Kluyveromyces lactis: one gene and its partners. The protein of the gene in region 3 purifies or fractionates together with the protein of the main gene of each other region. This does not show direct contact. Links are inferred from orthologs where the notes say so. Each region holds a gene or a part of one and is shown on either strand. Other genes may lie near its edges. The genes, in order: MRT4, LSG1 and ALB1.

The links.
Region 1: the proteins of ALB1 (region 3) and MRT4 purify together in Saccharomyces cerevisiae (affinity purification with mass spectrometry; 3 studies listed by BioGRID, with this or other methods). This does not show direct contact. The link is inferred for Kluyveromyces lactis from reciprocal best matches to the Saccharomyces cerevisiae genes ALB1 and MRT4.
Region 2: the proteins of ALB1 (region 3) and LSG1 purify together in Saccharomyces cerevisiae (affinity purification with mass spectrometry; 3 studies listed by BioGRID, with this or other methods). This does not show direct contact. The link is inferred for Kluyveromyces lactis from reciprocal best matches to the Saccharomyces cerevisiae genes ALB1 and LSG1.

Annotation. Positions count from the first base shown.
Region 1 is NC_006038.1:1,184,224-1,186,323, reverse strand, and holds MRT4 (mRNA turnover protein MRT4), read left to right. Parts: upstream 1-798; coding exon 799-1,515; downstream 1,516-2,100. Other genes in the region: SHU1 (Shu1p), read right to left, coding at 1,609-2,100. UniProt on the Saccharomyces cerevisiae protein: Component of the ribosome assembly machinery. Nuclear paralog of the ribosomal protein P0, it binds pre-60S subunits at an early stage of assembly in the nucleolus, and is replaced by P0 in cytoplasmic pre-60S subunits and mature 80S ribosomes.
Region 2 is NC_006042.1:641,343-644,728, reverse strand, and holds LSG1 (ribosome biogenesis GTPase LSG1), read left to right. Parts: upstream 1-851; coding exon 852-2,798; downstream 2,799-3,386. Other genes in the region: RRT2 (diphthamide synthase), read right to left, coding at 1-689. UniProt on the Saccharomyces cerevisiae protein: GTPase required for the nuclear export of the 60S ribosomal subunit. Acts by mediating the release of NMD3 from the 60S ribosomal subunit after export into the cytoplasm.
Region 3 is NC_006041.1:1,345,339-1,347,547, forward strand, and holds ALB1 (Alb1p), read right to left. Parts: upstream 1,075-2,209; coding exon 592-1,074; downstream 1-591. Other genes in the region: ribulose-phosphate 3-epimerase RPE1, read left to right, coding at 1-455; DUF5427 domain-containing protein MTC1, read left to right, coding at 1,735-2,209. UniProt on the Saccharomyces cerevisiae protein: With ARX1, involved in proper assembly of pre-ribosomal particles during the biogenesis of the 60S ribosomal subunit. Accompanies the pre-60S particles to the cytoplasm.

The DNA of each region.
Region 1 (2,100 bases), on a different chromosome or scaffold from region 3:
TATCTTAGAGGTTGTTAGACTTTGGCAAGCAATACAAGAGGTATGTTTAACTCGCCGGCTGTTCATATCAAACCAACTAGTTTGTTTCCTGCTAAATATGTACTGAGATTGCAATTTCCTGACTCTGAACTTTTAAGGTACATTTTGGTCCGGTACACTGCGGTTTTATCTGAGGAAAATATACACAATACCCGTCGCCACAAGTAATGAGTCACGTGACTAAGTTTACTTCCCCATTTACAATACATCTCCGGTAATAGGTTAAATCATTACCACTATATCTACTTGCCCGATACACGATCATGCCCTATCTGTGCCTTTCTAGTCTTGATATTTGTGTTGAATTGAGATCTATTGTCTCATTGGCAATGAGTGAGAGACTCAGAAATCAGTCAAGGGAATTCATACCGGAGTTTGGTTTTGCAGTTCCTTAGAATAAACCTCTCTAACCGAGCTTATGAGAATGGCCCTAGAGCATTGCAAAAGAGCCGGTATATGTCTTACCGATTCACTTTGTGTCAGAGGTCGTTACTTTCCGTTTGGAAAAATCAAATCACGTGACTCACAACTAGAAAGAAAAAGAAAGGCGCAAATTTTTCAGTTTGAGAAAGCTCATCTCATCGCATCTACTCGATGGACCTTTCATAGTTTAAACTGATCAACAGTACTAATCGCTATATTCTATCAGTTGTATTCCTCTTTATTTATCTCTCTTCTGTAATTGAATAGTGTTCTGATAATTGTTTACTTTTCGTTACTCTTTATCATCAAGCTACTACATATACCAACCCAGATACGATGCCAAGATCTAAGCGTTCAAAGTTGGTTACATTGGCCCAAACCGATAAGAAGGGTAGAGAGAACAAGGAAAGGATATTCGATGAAGTTAGAGAAGCCTTGGATTCTTTCAGATACGCTTGGGTTTTACATTTGGAAGATGTGAGAACTCCAGTTTTGCAAGAGATTAGAAGTTCTTGGGTTGGATCCAAGTTAATCATGGGTAAGAGGAAGGTGTTGGTGAAAGCGTTAGGTGAAAAGCCAGAGGAAGAGTACAAGGAGAACTTGGCCAAACTATGTAAGCACTGTTCTGGTGTTACTGGTCTATTATTTACCAACGAACCTGTCGATGTAGTGGAAGATTACTTCAAGGCATATGTGAGAGCTGATTTCTCCAGACCAAAATCAAAGGCTCCATTGTCTTTTACCATTCCAGCCGGTATTGTATACTCTCGTGGTGGTCAAATCCCAGAAGAAGAAGATGTGCCTATGATACATTCTCTGGAACCAACTCTAAGAAACAAGTTCAAGATTCCAACCAAAATTAAGAATGGTAAGATTACCATCGAATCTCCATACTTGGTCTGTGAAAAGGGCAAAACTCTAGATGTTACTCAAGCATTGATCTTGAAACAATTTGGTATAGCAGCTGCTGAATTCAGGGTGAAGGTTGCCGCATACTACGATAACGAAACTTCTAGTGTGGAACAGATCAATATCAACATGGATTCGAAATAAATCCAAAAATAAGAAAGCATTGCAGTGATAAACTATAAATATATATATATAATCATAACCTATATATTTCTCCTTTGTACATTAATCTCTTCTCTAGGAATCCTTTATCGAATACACGTACTGCCAATATTCGGTCAGATTCTTCCAACCTTGAGACATCATTCCCAGATCTGTCGCTGACACCATTCTGATACGCACAGCGTACTGATTTTCCAGTCGAAGCGATCCATGAAGGATGAGGTTACAATGTCGCAGCTGGGAGATTGACAGATCAAGAGTTTTCTGTGTCTCTTCTGATTCCAATTGTTCTTTCGTCATTAACAGGGACTCTAAACCGTAGATGATAATTTCTTCATAGCACATCGATGTGTTTCCTTTATTCTGGAGCTCAATCTCGACATATGTCAAGTACATATATAAATACTGTAATTTATCAAGGAACAGAATCCGCACGTTGGATCGTCCCCTGACTATATCATCAATACTGTTAAAGAAATGCGTCTTGTTTTCCCGTAGATCTTGCTCGAAGAAACTTCGAGCCTTAACGCCAACTGCTATAACTAGAACTTTCTTGTTACGGTCCAA
Region 2 (3,386 bases), on a different chromosome or scaffold from region 3:
AAATGAAAGATTTGTTCATGGTCATTCTGAACATTTATAACTTTGATGTCTGCATTTGGCACCTCAATATAATTTATTGTTGAGGAGTCGAAATACGATGGCTCCACCTCCTCTATAAAGCATATTTCACCATGTATGATATCAACAGTAGCAAAATCCCCATTAGTAGTGGTTAAAAGTACGAGATTATCCAGCAATGGAGAAAACTGGAGAGACGTTATTAGACATGTGGGATCAAATACTTGAAGGTTGTTCAATAGTTTGATATCAATTGATGAATTATCATCGTCGACAGATATCGTCCACAGAATCATATTACCGGTTGAATGAGCTGTTGCGAGTAAAGTATCATCGAATGGATTGAGCTTCAAATCTAAAATTGCCCCATAGGTTTTTATGCTAGAAAGAAGGTTCAATTCTTTATCATAAACCTCAATAGAGCCAGTTCGATTGCCTGAGTCCTTATGCAAGAGATAGGTACCCACAATGATAAATTTCTCTCTTAAAATACACAAGCAACATGGAGGAAGACGCGTGGTAACCCTTTTATCAGCTGCAGTTTCTTCCATTCTGCAGAAACTCTTGACTTCTAATTTTGTCGCTCCTCTAAGGTGGTATGCAATACCTATGTTGGAGTCGTACTCTGCATCCTCATCATGCGGGTGCTTTTGTAAAGATTGTTGAGCCATCCATCTGTTCTAGTTCAGGTTTACCACACAATTTCTTTTTTACACTTTACGTACTAGCGGAAAATTTTAATATGTTAACCAGCTCATCTCATCATAAGCAAAGCATCAGCACAACAATCTTAGCAGTTAACGGCAGGTCTACAAGCAACACGGACTAGCAGCATGCCACCAAAGGAAACAACAAAGAAGTGGAAACCTCCAAAGGGTCCAAAGCCTATTCAAAGGAAGAATAAAAACACTATTGGGTTAGGTAAGGCAATTCAAACTGCAAGACGTAAGGAAAATGAAGTGCAGTATTTGCCAGATGGTGAAGAACGTTTCACTACCGATAAGCACGAAGCTAATTGGGTAAAATTGAGATCTGTTACTCAGGAATCTGCATTAGATGAATTTTTGAGTACTGCTGAGTTAGCAGACAAGGATTTCACAGCGGACAGACATTCTAATGTCAAGATCATCAGAATGGATAACGGTGCCGATGCAGCCACATCCCAGGGATTTAGTTTGACCAATGAGCAGAAAAGTAAGATCAACGAGAAGCAGAGATTACATGCTAGAGAGTTGATTGTCCCAAGAAGGCCTAAGTGGAATGAATCTATGACCAGATTTGAATTAGAAAGGTTAGAAAAGGAAGCATTCTTGGAATGGAGACGTAAATTAGCCTATTTGCAAGAAGACAACGAGGATTTGTTATTGACTCCATTCGAGAGAAACATTGAAGTTTGGAGGCAGTTGTGGAGAGTTGTTGAGCGATGTGATCTAGTAGTCCAAATCGTGGATGCCAGAGATCCATTATTATTCAGATCCACAGATTTAGAGAAATATGTGAAAGAAGTGGATGACAGGAAACAGAATTTACTTTTGATCAACAAAGCGGATTTATTAACAAGAAAGCAACGTATTATTTGGGCCAAGTACCTTCTCTCGAGGGGCATCTCTTTTACATTCTTTTCTGCTGCCAAGGCTAATGAAATATTAGAGAGACAAGAGGAACTAGGGGATGAATACGTTGAAGAAGAGGACGATGAGGAAATACTGGCTACAGAGGAAGAAATTGAAGAACTTGATGGGGAAGAAGTGAACAAAGAAATTCTGGATAAAATTAACATACTGAAGATCGATCAACTTGAAGAATTGTTCTTAGATAAAGCGCCAAACGATCCGCTACTTCCTCCATTGCCCGGTCAAGAGCCAATCATACAAATAGGTCTAGTGGGTTATCCAAACGTTGGTAAGTCTTCCACTATAAATGCCTTGGTGGGTGCCAAGAAAGTTTCTGTCTCTTCTACCCCTGGTAAGACCAAACATTTCCAAACTATCAAGTTATCTGATAAGGTAACGTTATGCGACTGTCCAGGTCTAGTTTTCCCTAATTTTGCATACAATAAAGGTGAATTGGTGTGTAACGGTGTTCTACCGATCGATCAGTTACGTGACTATATTGGGCCATCGACATTAGTGGCAGAAAGGGTCCCTAAATACTTTTTGGAAGCCATTTACGGTATCCATATTCAGACCAAATCCGTAGAAGAGGGTGGGAATGGTGAAGTACCAACTGCACAAGAATTACTCGTTGCTTATGCCAGAGCTCGTGGTTATATGACACAAGGTTTTGGTGCCGCAGATGAATCTCGTGCCTCTCGTTACATTCTCAAAGATTATGTGAACGGTAAACTCCTGTACATTAATCCACCGCCTCACATGGACGATGATACGCCATATACCAGAGAAGAATGTAAGGAATTCAACAAAGATTTATACACGTTCAGTAAATTACCTATCAACAGACAAGAGCAACTTGCAGAAGCTGCCAAACACAAAGGTATACAAGATTTGGATCTTGCTCGCGATTTAAGTCGATTAACGTTCTCTGCTCATATTGGTGGTGATGGTGATAAAGTACAAGCTAAATCTGTCAACCATGGTGGTAAACAAGCAGCCTTGTACAACGTAGCTGATGAACTTGACAAAAATTTCTTCCATTTGAACGGTGTTCAAGGCAGACTTACGAACCCTTTCCATAAGCAAACCGTCGCCAACGAAAATGGTAAGAAGCATAACAAGAAGAACAAGAAGAGTAAGAAAAAGGCTTCCATGTTTTCCGATTAATGTAAGTACTATCTAAATTCATCCTAAACTCTTATATATATATAAATCCACTGTTTGCACAGTCTATTATCCCCATTCATTATGGAAATGTAACTGCATATCCTTTATATCTTCCTTAGCTGCCCTGCTTCCGGTTATAAGACCTATGGTTAGCATGCAACTTGTCACTGCATTACCCGGTGTTTACTGAAAAATTTGATGAACCAAAAGAAAAGGATACAAAACTTGGTTAAAGTTGGTTTACTTTATACTTGACCTCAGTACATGGTCCAGTTGATAAGTATTCTTGTCATTTGTGGTTATCTTTTTGGTTCCTAGCTCAGCAAACAAGGGCTCTTAAACACATTTCGGCATGTTCAATTATGGTTCGCGTTGTGGTTATCATGGCGCAGACTTATTCCACGCATGTAGAAGTAAGCTCAAGATGCCCAGAGCTGGGATACTCCCATTTAACGCCCTTTTCGCTAACAACAACTGAATTCCTACAGTTTGTAGTTTGATAGTAGGTGGGCGGAAATATTACCCATTTAATTGGTTCAGTAGTTTCCTCTGAAATATTATGAGAGTCGTATGAATTTGTATATCAAT
Region 3 (2,209 bases):
GGGTCGAAGATTTTGCTAGGATCGGTTGCGATCAGTTCACATTCCATTACGAGGCTACAAAGGACCCGGTAGCGTTGGTTAAGCTAATTAAGAAGCATGGTATGAAGGCTGCCTGTTCTGTGAAGCCAGGTACCCCTGTGGATGTGTTGTACGAGTTGGCACCATCCCTGGATATGGCTCTTGTAATGACTGTCGAACCGGGTTTCGGTGGCCAAAAATTCATGGCCGATATGATGAGCAAAGTGAAGGACTTGAGAACTAGATTTCCTAATTTGAACATTCAAGTCGATGGTGGTCTTGGTAAACAGAATGTCGAACTTGCTGCCGAGGCAGGTGCCAATGTCATTGTTGCCGGTACCTCTGTGTTCCGCGCGCACGACCCAGCAGATGTCATTGGATTTATGAAAACCAAGGTCAATGATGCATTAGTGACCAAAGGTTTATACGAAAAGTAGTAAGTACCTAAGTACATATACGCACTCTTTTTTATGTCAGAATAATATTTAATGAACGATCCGTTTAAGATCTATCCTAGTATACAAAATGTTTATATAGACAATGCAAACCCCATTTAACGATTTTTAAGACTCTCTACAAGAAATACTGACCACCTAGAGTTGTACCAGAACCTGTCTGAAGGGATAAACCTTGAGATTGAATATCTTCCAACACCGTGGAAATAGCCTCTCTCATCTTTTCCAATTGTCCTTTCTTGGTTTCCTTCTCCTTCTTCACAACAGGCGCATCAATCTGCATACCACCGTTTTCCTCACTTTGAGATTGTAGATCAACTAATAGTTTTCTTTGTTCCACGTATTTCAAGTTACGTTCGATCTTCTTTGCTCTTTTCTTCGAAAGAGTCTTGGTCGTAAGAGCACCAGAGGTCGAATGCTCGCCTTTGTAAAGATCCAATGGTATACTCTTCAACTGACCAGATTTAGATGTTCCTGAAGATCTTGCTGGTGCCAATAAACCCTTCTTTTCCATAGCATCTCTCTTGGCAGCACGTTGATGAACCTTACGGTTCAAGTTAACCTTTTGCTTTGGCCTGTTAATGGAGTTCTTAGATGGCATCTCGAATTTTAGTACTGTGATTAACCGTTAACTTGTAGTTCCAGGAATACTAGCCAGTACTAAGAGTAACAAGTAACAAGATAGCTAGCACAGGTGAATAGTAACGGGGGATCAAGTACATGGTATGGAGATGCATTAACTTTTCAACAGATTCGCGATGAGATGAGATGAAAAATTTTAGAAAAGAAACGGCAGTACAAAATAGATACGGTATTAGTTAATGAAAAATGCTAAGATTTAAGCCAAGACATGCCGACATTGGTACTGGAGAGCACCATCTATGGAAGGGGTAAGAATAGGTGGTGATAAAGGCCACGGTGCTCATTACATTTCGGCTAACTGCTCACTTTATGTATACCAGCGTTATTTCATGGTAATGAAAGTGACATAGTTACCCGGATATTTAAATACGACCCACCCTTAGAATGGACCAATACATGAAAAAAACACACGGTAGTTGGAACCATGACAATAGAGAAAGGATAGAAACTATATACTTGTGTTCACAAGGATTAGGAGGCTAGTTTAAGTTCAACCGTTGGAGTTTTGTCTTGCCTTTCAGCGATAATTTTCTAGTTTGAATATATCGATTCTTGATTGAACAATTCGTATCAATATTCAAGTTTTATCGACAGTAAAGACTTAAAAAGAAAACACCAAATGACTAGTGATGCCGATGATGTGCTAGAGTTTTTAGACTCTTTACCAGCCAGTACTGCTAATAACACTAAGGGAAAGGGTAAGGTTAGTGGGAACGGCGGCCAGGATGAGGATATTATGGAATTCTTAGACGAATTGGAAAATAGTAACCTGGATATTAAGAAGAAACCGTCCAAAAAGGACAAGCCACAATCCTCTAAGAAGCAAGAGAAAGAGAAACCGGAGGAGAAGCCAGAATCGAACGAGAAACCTGTAGAAGAGACAGCCAGTAAAGAGAAACCGAGTGAACAGAAAGGAAAAGAAGAACATGTGGCAGAAGAAGGTGAAGAGGCAGTTCAGGACCCACTGGCGTCAATTTCCAATTGGTGGTCATCTAGCGGTTCTGCTACAGTATCCAGTTTCTGGAACAAGACCACAGAACAAGCCAATCAATTGAAAGAGAAGATAGCTACTCAAGAGGGCAACTTGAAAATAA